Linked DNA regions of Cricetulus griseus. The main gene of each other region encodes a partner of the protein of the gene in region 2 in a complex. Links are inferred from orthologs where the notes say so. Each region holds a gene or a part of one and is shown on either strand. Other genes may lie near its edges.

Evidence for each region. The genes of interacting proteins can lie anywhere in the genome.
Region 1: the proteins of Nxf1 (region 2) and Nxt1 are in contact, whole or in part, in a crystal structure (PDB 4WYK), measured with the Homo sapiens proteins. The link is inferred for Cricetulus griseus from reciprocal best matches to the Homo sapiens genes NXF1 and NXT1. Residues at the interface, in NP_006353.2 of Homo sapiens: Ala366, Pro367, Thr368, Thr369, Leu370, Pro371, Pro372, Cys373, Lys374, Gly375, Tyr377, His411, Gly413, Cys415, Cys416, Ser417, Leu418, Ser419, Ile420, Pro421, Phe422, Arg440, Asn441, Val442, Lys443, Lys444, Lys446, Pro448, Thr449, Arg451; in NP_037380.1 of Homo sapiens: Phe6, Lys7, Val10, Asp11, Cys14, Glu18, Thr44, Val46, Trp47, Asn48, Gly49, Asn50, Ala51, Phe61, Met64, Leu65, Pro66, Ile72, Ser73, Val74, Val75, Asp76, Cys77, Gln78, Pro79, Val80, His81, Glu83, Ala84, Thr85.

What each region holds. Positions count from the first base shown.
Region 1 is NC_048599.1:30,364,595-30,372,075, forward strand, and holds Nxt1 (NTF2-related export protein 1), read right to left. Parts: upstream 4,634-7,481; 5' UTR 4,439-4,633; intron 4,422-4,438; exon of another isoform or gene 4,293-4,421; intron 4,258-4,292; exon of another isoform or gene 4,129-4,257; intron 4,103-4,128; exon of another isoform or gene 3,319-4,102; intron 1,504-3,318; 5' UTR 1,446-1,503; coding exon 1,023-1,445; 3' UTR 762-1,022; downstream 1-761.
Region 2 is NC_048596.1:51,331,245-51,338,028, forward strand, and holds part of Nxf1 (nuclear RNA export factor 1), read right to left. Parts: intron 2,974-6,784; coding exon 2,790-2,973; intron 2,606-2,789; coding exon 2,452-2,605; intron 1,585-2,451; coding exon 1,501-1,584; intron 1,421-1,500; coding exon 1,316-1,420; intron 1,199-1,315; coding exon 1,118-1,198; intron 1,032-1,117; coding exon 962-1,031; intron 874-961; coding exon 785-873; intron 656-784; coding exon 548-655; intron 207-547; coding exon 97-206; intron 1-96.

The DNA.
Region 1 (7,481 bases), on a different chromosome or scaffold from region 2:
GTAGGACTGGTTTGACTGCTCTAGATGTAGCTTTGGAGTTATTTCATAGGTATGACTGGCTAAGACACAAAGTAATATCACAGGGCTACTCTGGCACTTGTGGTCACTAGAGACCCAGAGCACTGCATGAGGACCCCACCTCTAGGTCACAGTCAGATTGGCTTGTCATTCATGATGAAGCCATGACCAGTGGTCTAGGATTCAGAGAGGAAGTGAGCATTTATTGAAACACAATCCTTCAGTTTAATTCTTCAACTTCTGCTTCATTGGCCAGAATCACATGTCAAATCTTGTGCTCAGACTGAAAAGTAATTTTCAGATGGGTGCTTTGTGTTACAGCTTCTGACGTCCCCTCCCAACCTTGGTGCTTCTGGTAGGAGCAGCACTCAGCTGCTCTTCACATATATCACCAATAACTCCCATCCCAGGTGCTACGGGGCAAAGCCAACTATCAGGTGAATTAACTTTTTTTTTTTTTATATAAATCACACATTAGGATAAGGGTACTTTTGAAAAATAAAATGCCAATGCCCAGATCTTATTTATAGTGGAGGTGCCGGCTAGGGATATGGCCCAGGACAGGAAATTTCCAATGTTTTAAGAATTCTAGTGTGGATAGGACTACCTACCACCTACAGCTCTGGATCCACCAAGATCACAGTGGGGTAAGAGCTCATCCCAGACCCACCTCTATAGGTGCTTCCTACTATGCTTTCTGCCTTTCACACTCTTCTCAAAATTTAGACACATAAGGCAGAGAAGCCACATTTATATTATTTATTTGTCAACTTCCAGAAACAGGGTCTCTACTGATTAAGTAGAAAAATAGAAAGTTTACTACTTTTAAAAGGCAACTATGACAAAACCAGTATATAACCAGGAAAGGGGTTTCTAGGACTCAAACATCCAGTTTGCAGTGCTGCTGTGACAACCAAAATGAACTGTGTTCTCCACATCCTGAGATTTGTGACTGGCATTTCTCTGCAGAGCTGGGCCAAAGCCAAGAAGCCTTTCTCACCCCACTAGCTGGCCCAGTCCTGGAATCGGAAGCAGTCACTTGCTATCTTCCACACTGTGTTAGTGGGTGAAGCCTGGGCAGTCAAGATGAAGTTCTGGTTGAAGTCCCGCTGTTTGTTGCCCTCAAACTTCACTGATCCACAGATCACCACAAGAACTGTGGTCTGGCTTGGTGTAGCTTCATCATGGACAGGCTGGCAGTCTACCACATTGATCTGGAACTCACTGGAAGGCAACATCTCAAAAAATTCATTCAAGGATTCTTGTCCTGAAACAGCATTTCCATTCCATACTAAAGTGGCAGTGCCCATGTACAGGCGGGATAGCAGCCGCCGCCGTTTATCCATGGTAGTGTAGTAGACATTGACAAACTCCTCTGCAGCTCTGCAGGCCTGGTCCACATAGGTCTTGAAATCCACTGATGCCATCTCTGGTTCTGCCGACAGAGGCCTCTGTCAGATTGGCTCCTCTGTGGGGATCCAGGGACTGTATGACAACAAAGATGATGGGAACACATGTGAATATCAAAGTCTTTTTTGCTCTGATAAAACTTTTTTAAGTTTCAATTTTTAAAATTGTATTTGTATGTATGTGGGTTATGCACCACCAAGTGGGTCCTAGGAATCAAGCTCAGGTTGTTAGGCTTGACAGTAAGCACTTATACCTATTGACCCATCTAGCCCCCAATCCTCCTTTTCCATAGGCTACAGAACATTACATACTGCAGGCACATGACTTTAGGCTCAAACTGTTGCCTATTTATTTTAAAGGCAGTGTTTCACTATGTAGTCCTAGCTGGCCTGGAACTGAGAGATACATCTGCCTCTCTGTCAAGTGCTGGGATCAAAGACATTCACCACCAAGCAAGCCCAGCATTCGATGCTTGTTTAATCTTACTAATCCTCAGATTCTTCATTAAAAAACCCAAAAAACATGAAAATTAAAAGACAATGCACATCCAGCACTGAGTTAAGGTTTAAGCCAGGAAGGGTGAAAATGGTGGGGCACACTAGAAAAGTTGAGGCATGTGCATGTGCCAGCCTGGAACAGAGAGAGCAAGCCTGATCTCAAAACCAACACAGCAAACCTGGTCTCAAAAAAAAAAAAGTCTGATATGTTTGTTCATCTTACAATGGGATTTAAAATCCACTTTATTACTAGAGCACATTTGGTGACAGACTGTTCTTTCCTGAAAGCTTGGAATAGGCGTGGCTGCCTCTAGGCAACCAGGGTGTGGCTCATCCTAGTCAAGATAGTGGCTAAAACTGAAGAAATAAGTGGTTACTGGCCCAACAAAGGCTACCAGAGGTAGAGTAGGTGACTGACAATCTGGGAAGACTACAATGAACTAACCCAACAAGGATTCAGGAGATGTAGGGAATGGCAGATTTCTCAGGAGAGTGGAGGATAGTGGTCACAATCCCCAAAAGAAGCCAGCCCAAGAATGATCGGAATTTCCATCTTTGCACTAATGCCCATCATGTAAGACCAGAGGGCTATAATACCGAAGCAGAAAGACCCTAGGATTCAAACAGATTCTAAATTTTATTTTATGTGCATTGGTGCGAGGGTGTCAGATATCCTAGAACTGGAGTTACAGACAGCTGTGAGCTGCCATGTGGGTGCTGAGAATTGAACCTGGGTCCTCTGGAAGAACAATCAGTGCTCTTAACAGCTGAGCCATCTCTCCAGCTCCCAAAAAGAGTCCATGAATTCTTGTTGTTGTTTGTTTTCCAAGACAGGGTTTCTCTGTGTACCTTTGAAGCCTGTTCTGGAGCTTGATCTGTAAACCAGGCTTGAACTCACAGAGATCCACCTGCCTCTCCCTCCTGAGTGCTGGGATAAAAGGTGTGTGCCTCCACTGCATAGCTCAAAGATTCTAATGGGGAGGGGATGGGCACAGTTTTATTTATATCTGAAAGATCACAGCTCCCTAAAAAATTTAAGTTCTAACACATAAACAGCATATTTTTTTCCTAACAGGTTTGACTGTTAATTTCTTCTATGATTAAAAATTTTCATTTAAAAGAAACCAGTATAATTTTACTTAAAATAGTAGACACAAGTAATTTATATTATTTGTCAATTTCCAGAAACAGGGTCTCTAGTGAGTAAGCTTAGAACTTCTTTTTTTATTTCAAGTACCCTTATTTTATTGACACTGGGTCTCTCTATGTATTTCTGGAGCTTGCTATGTAGACCAGGCTGGCCTTGAACTCAGAGATCCACCTGCCTCTGCTGGGACGAAAGGTGTGCCCGACCCAACTTTTCTCTATTTTTTTTTTTAAACTATCAGCTTACGAACGATGATTCCACACAGGGCTGGGAGGAAGCTGGTCCTAACGATGTGCAGTTCAGAGCCAGTTTAAGATTGCTCTTTGCCGGCTGGAGAGATGGCTCAGAAGTTAAGACTGCTCTTCCAGAGGTCCTGAGTTCAATTTCCAGCAACCACATGATGGCTCACAACCATCTACAATGAGATCCGGTGCCCTCTTCCAGCCTGCAGGCATACATGCAGGCAGAACATTGTATACATAATAAATAAAAAAATCTTAAAAAAAAGTTTGCTCTTTGCATTCTCTCCAAGAACCTCAGACTGAAGACTCAACAATCAGTCTGAAGTGTTGTGTGTTTAAGTAGTTTAGGATCATGCCCTCAATCGCTGCACACATGGGTATCCCTGTGACAACTTTACTAAGAAGGAAGAGGAACTTGCACACTCTTGGTCGACTCAAGGCCGATCTAGGAAAATCGAGGGGGTCAAGGCCATGTTGCCCTCTTTGGACTTTTGAGAGTAGGTCTATATGAAGACAGCTCCAGGGATGCCGGCCTGGGAATGTCCTCCCAAGTAGCCACATTTCTCTCTGCCCAACCAGCTCATCAAACGCAGCTTCCTTTAGACCACGATGCTCCCGGTTGACTTTTTCTCTTCTGCTTCCTCCAAACACAATCCAACAATGGTCACGCCCTCAAAGGATGATCGATCACCCCTACTTCTGGTCCTCAGCTACCCACAGAACCTGCTCAGCTCTCTCACACCAGGGGAAAACAGTAAGACCGAAACACAGTAGAGCGAGAAGCCAGGAGGATGCCCCAGTCCGCGGTCCATACTCTAGCTTCCTGGAGCTGGACCCCAGGAGCCGCAGCCGTGTCTCGGGCCTCACTGAGGTTCAGCCGGGCGTCGCTTATCAAAGCCGCTGGCAGATGGCAGCACGCTCTTTAGAGCCATCATCCGGCCCCAAACTGCTGCTCTCCTCCGGGCAGGGCAAACTCACCGCCACCGTTGTACACAGCAAAAAGCCTGATGCCCAGCTGCAAAGACACCACGTGGGGGAAAGACACCACCCGGGTCTTACTGAGCCTGAGGGGAGGCAAGGGGTCCCTCCGGCCACCGCGCAGCCAGACAGGGGCGGCCACCTACCTGCTCCGCCCCGGTCAGCGCCTCCAAGGCGACTCGGTCCCGGGTCCCGCCCCGGCCGCAGTCCCGGGCCAGAAGATTTACGCTCCTGCCCTCCTCTTCCTCCCAGAGGCTCCGCCTGAGGCGCCGGCGTCCTGGAGACGGGGAACGGTTGGTCGCGGGTAGCAGCTATCCCGCGCGCGGCGTGCTGCGTTCTACGCAGGCGCGAAGGTCTCGCGTCCAAACGGCTCCCGCCTTCGCGTGACGGGCAGCTACGCGAGCCAGTAGAAAGGCTGGCTCCGCCCAGGTGCGGCTGCAAAAACTGTGTGGCTTCCGGGGCCGTCACTAAGGGAGAAGTTCCGGCTGAGGGAGCTTCGATTGGAGAGCGTGAGAGGGGGGCGGGGCTACGCTGTTAGCAGCGGAAGACTTGGCTGCCGAGAGCAGTGCGGCTTGGGCGCGTCTGCCTCCCTTCGTCAGTCTGTGTTGGTTCTTTGTGAAGACTCACGGCTTGACGCCATCTAGGGAGACAGCAGCATGGCTGCAGTAAAGCTCTGGACCGAACCTAGTGTATAGGACGCCCGCAGTATTGGAGCCCGAGTGGAAAGCTAAGTGAGGGAGTCCTGTGGAAGTCCATGGGCTCAGTCATCTTATCTGACGCACCCTTTCTTAGATAAAGCCACTTAGAGTTGAGTTCCCCGCTAGCTCTAGCTGTGGCGAACCGTTCCTCCGCCTGTAAGTTTGATATGGTTAATCTGGAGCAGTCTTGTTTGTTTGTTTGTTTGTTTGCTTGTTTTTAAGACAGGGTTTCTTTGTGGCTTTGTAACTAGCTCTTGTAGACCAGGCTGGTCTCGAACTCACAGAGATCCGCCTGCCTCTGCCTCCCGAGTGCTGGGATTAAAGGCATGTACCAAAACCGCCCGGCCGGGGCAGTCTTGACACTTAGCGTTAGAATGGAACCATTTAGTGTAGGAACTTTAGAAACTGCCGAGGGTAACACAAAACCCGAAAAGCTCATTTTCCCGAGGCACACGGTTCTCTGCTTCATCTATCCGGCTGGGAGAACCCCCTGGAAGTGACTAGGTTAAATGAAGTACTGTATTTTGTTGGCAATCTCTTGGGTCCTTTTGTTCATGTTCCTAAGGTAACCTTTGCTTATAGACTTAAGAAACCAGATAGGCTACTTAATATAGGCCACTCCCCCACTGCAGTCAAGTAGGAGAAAAGTTTTCATTATTGAAAGAAGTTGGATTGCTGAGTGTCTTCGGAGTAATAGTTACACCAAAATGGCTTTATAAACCTGGAGGTAGGTAGTGATAGGCCCTAGGACTTTTCTTGAAAAAGAACTTGATTTTTATTCTATCTGTAGCCCTTGAGTTTGGGGAGATTAGAGATATCTCTGACTGCAGGGAACATATCAATGACACAGTTGAGGGTATGTATTAGCCAAGTTTCTCTAGAGTAACAGAACTTACAGATTGAATGAGTCTCTCTCTGTCTCTGTCTCTGTCTCTCTGTCTCTCTCTCTCTCTCTCTCTGTGTGTGTCTGTCTGTCTGTCTCTGTCTCTCTCTCATACACTGTGGTTCAGCTAGTCCAACAATTGCTGCTAATGAATGTAAGGCCCTAGAATACAGCAGTTGTTCAGTCAGTAAGGCTGGATGTCTCAGCTGCTTTTCAGTATATGCTGGAAGTAGGCTCTAATGCCAGTGAAGGAATGAACTTGCTAGCAAGGGTGAGAGCAAGCAGGCAAAGAGAAAGAGCTTCCTTGCTCCATGTCCATTATATAGGCTTCCAGTAGAAGGTGTGGTCTAGATTAAAGGTGGACCTTCTCACCTCAAAAGATATGGATTGAAGGTTTATCTTCCCACCTCAGAAATCAATATTAAAATTGGGTCTTCCCCCTTCAAATGATTATTTGAAAGAAAAAATCCCTCTCAGGTTTACCCAGCCATTTGGGTTTTAATTAAATCCAGATGTAGTCAAAATGACAACCAAGAATAGGCATCATAAGATATTTTGGAGTCCCAGTTACTCTCATTGGACTGGAGAAGGAGTTTGATAGGGCATTCTGGGAAAGGAGCATTTTTTCCTCTTTCCGTTTTGAATATGGGTATGGACAGCAGTTCTTCAGTCTTCCTCCTCCTCTGAGGAGAAATTGACTCATCAGTGATGAGACAGACAGGAAGGGTGAGAAGAAATCAGGCCTTTGGTGAGTGAGTGTTAGGACTGTCCTCTTCAGTGTGTGTGTGTGTGTGTGTGTGTGTGTGTGTGTGTGAGAGAGAGAGAGAGAGAGAGAGAGACAGAGACAGAGACAGAGACAGAGACAGAGACAGAGAATGTGATGTGCTGCCTAAATGCTTTGCCACTGTCCCACACTCAGCCCCAGTCTTCAGTTTTGGACTTCACAGTATCAAGAGTCAGTGTTTAAAGCTGGGCATCATTTTAATTACTTTCAGCTCAGCATTGTGTCCTTGAGTATAGGCAGTGTCATTGTGGCATGTGAGTTTGCCTGTCTAGGAAGCAGCTGCCTGATCTGTAAATCAGGGACACTAATGATATACTTGGAATGGCTTCACATGGGTCTGAATCCAAATTAGCATCCAGAAACATTAATGGGACCGAATTATGTTTTATATTTTATGTCCACAGCAACTTCTTCATTTGTCAACAATCCTTCTAATGAAATGATTGGCTTTTACATTTGGGACAAGCATATGACAAATTGGTGGGATTTGTTACCTGATCACATGGACACTTTTGATAAATGAGGCTGGCCTAAGCAGCTGTAGAACCAGTGTTCCTGTTTGCCATGTGGAGCCTGTCCAGGAAGAAGGACACATCTGGTCCATACACAGAGTTGGGCCTGACTTAAGAATCGTAAAATCTGTCAACACGGGCTTGCTCTCCTCCCCCACTGTCAGTGCTCTTCCCTTGGATAGAATTTCAACAGCATGTTTTCAAAAGCAGCTGTGTGATTTGCAGTGAATTCACAGTTGTGTCTTAGCAGCTGTGTCTCGAATACCCTGTCACCTGAACCACATCCAATCTTTTGACTTTGGTGGGCCCATC
Region 2 (6,784 bases):
TATGTTCTCCTGTAGACAGGCTCTGGTCAGGGTGCATTAGCTCAGCCTCCCAGGGGGTGAAGGTCCCCAGGAGGGGAGACAGAGGCTACAACTGACCTGATATAGGTGGACTGGTCTCGGAAGTTATCACACATGGGGTTTCTGTCAAGCCACAGCTCTTCCAACTTTAGCCCTTTTATCTTGTCTAATTCCCGCTCAGACTTCAACTGTGAAGGATAAGGGGAGGGCAAAAGGGAAGAAAGAGACCCAAGTAAGAATAGCAGTTGGATCTCCACACTCCCAAATGCTACCTAAGTTTCCTTTCTTGCCTACCACCTTGGCCAACCAAACTCTTCTCACCCTCCCCCAACATAACAATAAAGCCAGAGCCAGTGGGATGGCTCACTCAGTGGGCAGAAGCTCTTGCTGCACAAGCCTCACAATCCACGTTCCAGCCCAAGAACCCACAGTGGAAGGAGAGAACCAACTTCCAAAAGCTGTTCTCTGACTTCCACCCACTCATAATCACTAACTAAAAAAAAAGCATCACTAGGTTATCAGTCCTTACTTCGTTTCCAGAGAGATTTAGGGTCTTTAGGTTCGGCGCTTTCTGTACAATGCTGGACATATCATCCAGCTTGAATAGTCTGTTGTTGCTCAAGTTCAAAGACAATAGCTGTAAACAGAACAAAATTTAGAAGTGTTACTACATGTAGACCAGAGGCAAGTCTGGTTCCTCATCCCTCATCAGGCCCCAACCCGATATATCCCACTTTGCTTTCTCATGCAAAAAAAGAAGCTGCACCTCAGGAATATTCTCTTCAATGATCTGCAGGGTGGCAGCCATACAGCTTCTCCGGTTAAGAACAGCATCAATGTTCTGGGCCACCAAATCTTCAGCAAGCAAAAAGAAAAAGAAGTCTGAGAGTTATACGAACTGATTGGGCCCCCTCTCCCTCTAGCCGGGACACTACTGTCATACCTGGGTCTGAGCGGAGGCCCTTGAGGTCAAGTGCTTGTTGGGAGCCATCATATCGTTTGCTCATGATCAGCTAGATGAAAAGAGACAGACAAAGAAAGGGTTTAGTGATCACTGAGGGAGAGTGAAAGACAACTGGGCCACTTAAGCCAGCCTCACCTTGAGCTGCTCTACTTGTTCAGGCTTCAGTTCTTTCTGTACACTGCGGGGTGGAGCAGAGGAGTTGATGATGATAGATATCTGAAGAGAAGACACAAAGGCAAGAGTATACTTGAGGTAGGCCAATACTTACTTAGTCCTTTTCACTCAGTGCATCAGCGTCAACCTATGCCACACCAGGCCCTTTGTCTAACATACCCTTCTGTTTTCTCGATCGTGAATCTTATAGTTCACAGCCTTTAATGCAGAAGCTGTAGTGGCATCTTCCACAAAAAACTGGGCCCGTGTGTTTTCATAGTGAAACTGGAAGAAGGAAGAACAAGAACGTGAGATTTGGAGAGCACAGGCCTTTGGCCAGCCTCCCAAGCCTCCCTTTGCCATACCTCAATGGGGTTGAAGGGGACACTGCACTTGCTCTGAATCATGCTCAGGAGCCACGCTTTGTCATACTTTTTGCCATAAGGAATCTGGAAATAAGAGAGAAGGGAAGCACATTTTAGTATTTTCTGCCAAGACTGAAAAGGTTTCTAGAGCTTTGGGGTGGAGCTCAAAGATAAAAGACATGCGTAACATGCATGCATGAGGCTCAGTGATAGAAAGGATGAGGCATGCTTACATGCATGAGGCTGGTAGAGCCCTTCTACCACAAAATAACTTTTTTCTCCTAAAGAAAGGACCAGGTGTGCTGGGCATATTGGCGCACGCCTTTGATCCCAGCACTCAGGAGACAGAGGCAGGCGGATCTCTGTGAGTTTGAGGCCAACCTTGTCTACCAAGTGAGTTCCAGGACAGCCAGAACTGTTACACAGAGAAACCCTGTCTTGAAATTAAAAAAAAAAAAAAAAAAGAAAAGGAGGAGGAGGAAGAGAAAAAGAAAGGAGCAGATGTATGGTTTCCATGCAAGATAAAAAGACTTCCTTAAAATTCTTTCCATATACTTATTCATGGCAAGATGGCTCAGACAACATGGCCACACATCAAATATATTAATTCTAAATCCTAAGATATTATGTGTACCTTACCTGCCCCACAAACTCCACAGTCACCTAGAGCCACTCTTAGCTTAAGAGTTACTCTACCTCCTGACCCTTCTGCTGATCATACTCAATCAGATTTGCCTTCCACCTGTCATTGTGCCTGTCCTTAACTCCCTGTCTTAGTCTTTTTCTTAGATGTTTTAGATACTCATTCTAAGGAAATGGTGGATAAATGTGATACTTGGTTGTTGAGTAAACATTGGAGAAAATGGATTTGAGGGGCTCAGAGTGGGTGTCAAACACCTTCACTGAGTATGGTCCCATTTCCTGAAAGAACTATTCTCCCAAAGTACTCACTGTAATCTTGAACCAGTTTTTGGTGGTCCCATCTTGGCTGGTCCCAGCCCCTCCTCTCTCTGGAGGAGCTCTGTCTCTCCTTACGGTAATATGAATTCGATCTCGATCATGCCAAGTATCCCCCCGACGGTTAGGCCGGTTGGGATAGGGGTTGCTGTTGGGAAGCAGAATTAAATTTCCATAAACACAAGATGAACCTGTCCTGCTAATGAAACTGTAGCTACTAAATGGTTTGGTCAAGTATCACTTTACAAAGTGAGAAGAGAAACGACAAAGGCAGTAAAAGGACTATATAATTTAGTGAGTCACTATTTAAAGCAGACCAATTAGTCACTTACTATCTTACTCGGGGGCCATCTTGGGCATCATTCATTGCCACATCTCCATCATCTTCCTCAAACCGGGAGGACCGTATACTAGAACCACCTCTTCCCGACCGACGATTCCCCTCACCACACTTCCATCGGAAAGGCCCACGGCCTTTCTTTCTTCTCTGAGGGAAACTAACACGGTCATCATGCTCTGGAATTGGAAAAAGGCACAAAAAGTAGTAATACATGAGTGCTCTTGGTTACCTTGGTGTGGCCACTTTGTACTCTTTCGAAAGCCAGACACTAACTACAAAGGCTACCTCCATATATATATATATAGACAACTACATCCTAGCCAGAGGAAAAAACTTTCTGTAGGGCATCAACAACAAGTTAATGGAAAACTGTAGGTCTACTGAAAAATAAAAGGGTTGATAGGCAGTGGTGCACGCCTTTAATCTCAGTGCTTTGGAGGCAGAGGCAGGTGGATCGCTGTGAGTTCTTCAAGGCCAGCCTGGTCTACAGAGTGAGTTCTTCCATTCCCCATCAGAAAGGAGCAGGTCTCCCAGTAATGTCAGCCAAGCACAGCATAACAAGATGCAGTTAAGACTAGACACAAACCCTCAGATTAAGGCTTGACAAGGCAACCCAGGAGGAAAATGGTCCCAAGAGCAGGCAAGAGAGTCAGAGATACCCCAACTCCCACTGTTAGGAGTCCCACAAAAAACTCAAGCTAAACAGCCACAGCATGTATGTAGAGGACCTAGCACAGACCCATGCAGGCTTCGTGATTGAGCCCCTATGAGCGAGCCCTACTTAGTTGATTCTGTGGGCCATATTCTGGTCCTCTGGCTTCTGCAATCCTTTCTGCCCCCCTCCTTCCATGGGGTTAGCTCTGCCTAACCTTTGTGTGTGGGTCTCTACATCTGCTGCTACCAGCTGCTGGAGGAGTAGTTTCTGATGATTACCAGGCTAGGCACCTCATTCTTAAGAGTACTGGCAGTTCTTCTAGAGGACCACATTTGATTCCCAGCACCCACACTGCAGTGCCCAACTTTCTGCAACTTCATTCCAGAGGCTGTCATGGGCATCCCAGGCACTCTTGTGTTACACAGATGTATAAGCAAGCAGGCAAAACACTCATATACATATAAAAAAAAGTCAGTAAGGAAAAAGAATGTAGCTCAGTGGTAGAGTGCTTGTTTAACACACTCAAGGACCTGGGTTTGATGCCCAGCATAGACTCAAAGCAGACAATAATAGCAAAAAGAGCATTTTTCATTTGGGTATGGTAGCCCATGCGTATTATACTAATAACTGGGAGGTAGAGGCAGGAGAATCTGGAGTTCAAGATCATTTGCCACTACATACTAATTTAACATCAACCTGAGCTACATGAGATCCTGTCTTAAAACAAAATAAAGTTTAAAGGGTGTGGGGGATGGGAGTCTCTCTCCACAAGTTCATATAAATCTTAGAAATCTGTGGGTTAGAGGCTGGAGAGATGGCTCAATGATTAGGTCCCAGAATTGGTTCCTAGCACCCACATGGCAGCTCCCAACTGTGCTCTGCAATGTGAATGCTGGGAAATCAAAGCTGGTCCTCTGGAAGAGTAGTCAGTGCTCTTAACTCATCTCTTCAGCCCCCTACAGCTTTCTAATAACTTGTTTTTTGATGTTTATGACCTATAAAAAGTTCTTTCCCCTGGCCAGGGCACAGGTGTCTATGTGGAGGTAGCCTTTGTAGTTCTAGGGGACCCAATACCTTCTTCTGGGCTCTGCAAGGACCAGACAGAAAACTAAATCTTTAAAAGAAAAAGTAATGAAAGGTGAAAATATCACAACACATTGTGTATATGTATAAAATTGTCAAAAATCATTAAAGTGAAGGGCTAGAGAGATGGCTCAGAGGTTAAGAGTACCGACTGTTCTTTCAGAGATACTGAATTCAATTCCCAGCAACCATATGGTGGCTTACAACCATCTATAAAGGGATTTGATTCCCTCTTCTAGAATGCAGACAGAACACTATATACATAATAATTTTCTTTTTTTCCAAGACAGGGTTTCTCTGTATTGCTTTGGAGGTTGTCCTGGAACTTGCTCTGTAGACCAGGCTGGCCTCTTAACTCACAAAGATCCACCTGCCTCTGCTTCCCAAAGTGCTGGGACTAAAGGCATGTGCCAGCACTGCTGGGCCTAAATAAATGTTTAAGAAAAAAATTTTGAAAGAAAACAAGTGAACCAGAAACTAGTTCCTACATAAAAAGTAAAACATGGCACCCCTGAAAACCACTTGAAATTTTTGATCTTTTGCCTATACATACAAATGAGGGCCACAGAGCCAGATGTGGGAAACAACTGTAATCTCAGCAAATGGGAAGTGGAGGCCTCAATTACACAAGTTCAAAGCCATCCTGGACTACATGATCCTGTCTCAAAAAATGAAAAAAAAAACTTACAAATATGACCTATTTTAAAACCACATAATAGCCAGATGGTAGTGGCTCACACCTTTAATCCCATCACTCGGGAGGCAGAGGTAAGTGGATTTTCTGTGAGTTAGAAACCAGCCTGGTCTACATAAGCTAGTAACAACCACCACCTCCTTGCTCTCAAACTGTCCTTCTGAATTTGGGCAATGCTCATTTCTGTGAGCAGAAGTGACTGCACCTCAAGGGACTTCTAGATGCAGGATCAGCTGGCAGTTCCACATTAGGGTCCTGGAGTGTTTTCTAATACACATGTGTCCGAAGCAGATCTCTGAGAGTTCAAGGCCAGCCTGGTGTACAAAGTGAGTTCCAGACAGCCAGGGCTATTACACAGAGAAACCCTGTCTCAGGGGAAAGAAAAAAAAACAAAAAACAAACAAACAAAAAAAACAAAAAAAAGGAAAATGAGCTGGACATAGGCAGGCAGATCTCTGTGAGTTTTCAAGGCCAGCCTCATCTTGGTCTATACAGTGAGTTCCAGTCAGAGCTACATATTGAAAAAAAAAAAAGAAAGAAAAAGAAAAAAAAGTAAATAAATGAAACCAAGTGCAGTAAAATACTGTGTTTATGTTTTTTAAAATTTTTTCTTTTTTGGTTTTTCAAGACAGGGCTTCTCTGTGGCTTTGGAGGCTGTCCTGAAACTAGTTCTTGTAGACCAGGCAAGTCTCGAACTCACAGAGATCCCGAGTGCTGGGATTAAAGGCGTGAACCACCAACGCCTGGCCACAGTATACTGTTTTTAAGGCAAGAGGATCAGAGGGGCTCAAGGTCACCCTCCTCTTTGTAGAGTTCAAAGCCAGACGTTGTGTATAGGTTTATATGTATATACATGTAGGCACTAACACAAAAGGAGACTGAGGATCAGCTCAGCTGGTAAAGTGCTTACCTTTATCCTTCACACACACACACACAGACTGAGGTTGAGGCAGGAGAATTTGAAACTTCAAGTCAGACTGGGCAACTTAGTGAGACCATCTCAAAACAACAACAAAAAGGATGAGAATTTAGCTCCATGGGAGGGGATTGCCTGGTGTATGCAAGGCCTAGTGTTCATCTAGCACAAAATAATAAGTCTCGTGGTACGTGCCTACAATACCAAACTTGGGAGACTTGCACTGAAAGACTGACTATGAGGCCAGCCTGGGGTACTAAGACTGGCCCTATAAGGGAGAATTAGTCTTCAACGGGGATGAACTCCCTAAATGGTTATCCAAGGCCAAATGGTTAGCCTTAAAAATAAGTACATGCTAGCTACACTAAATGGACTCAGGTTGTATGAATTTGGGGAGTGGGTAGACATGAAAGTAACTGGAGGGAGATCCTGTTAAAACACGTACATACATACATACATACATACATACACACATACATACATACATACATGTTGTTTGTTTGTTTTTTGTTTTGTTTTATTTTTCCAGGCAAGGTTTCTCTGTGGCTTTGGAGGCTGTCCTGGAACTAGCTCTTGTAGACCAGGCTGGTCTGGAACTCACAGATCCGCCTGCCTCTGCCTCCCGAGTGCTGGGATTAA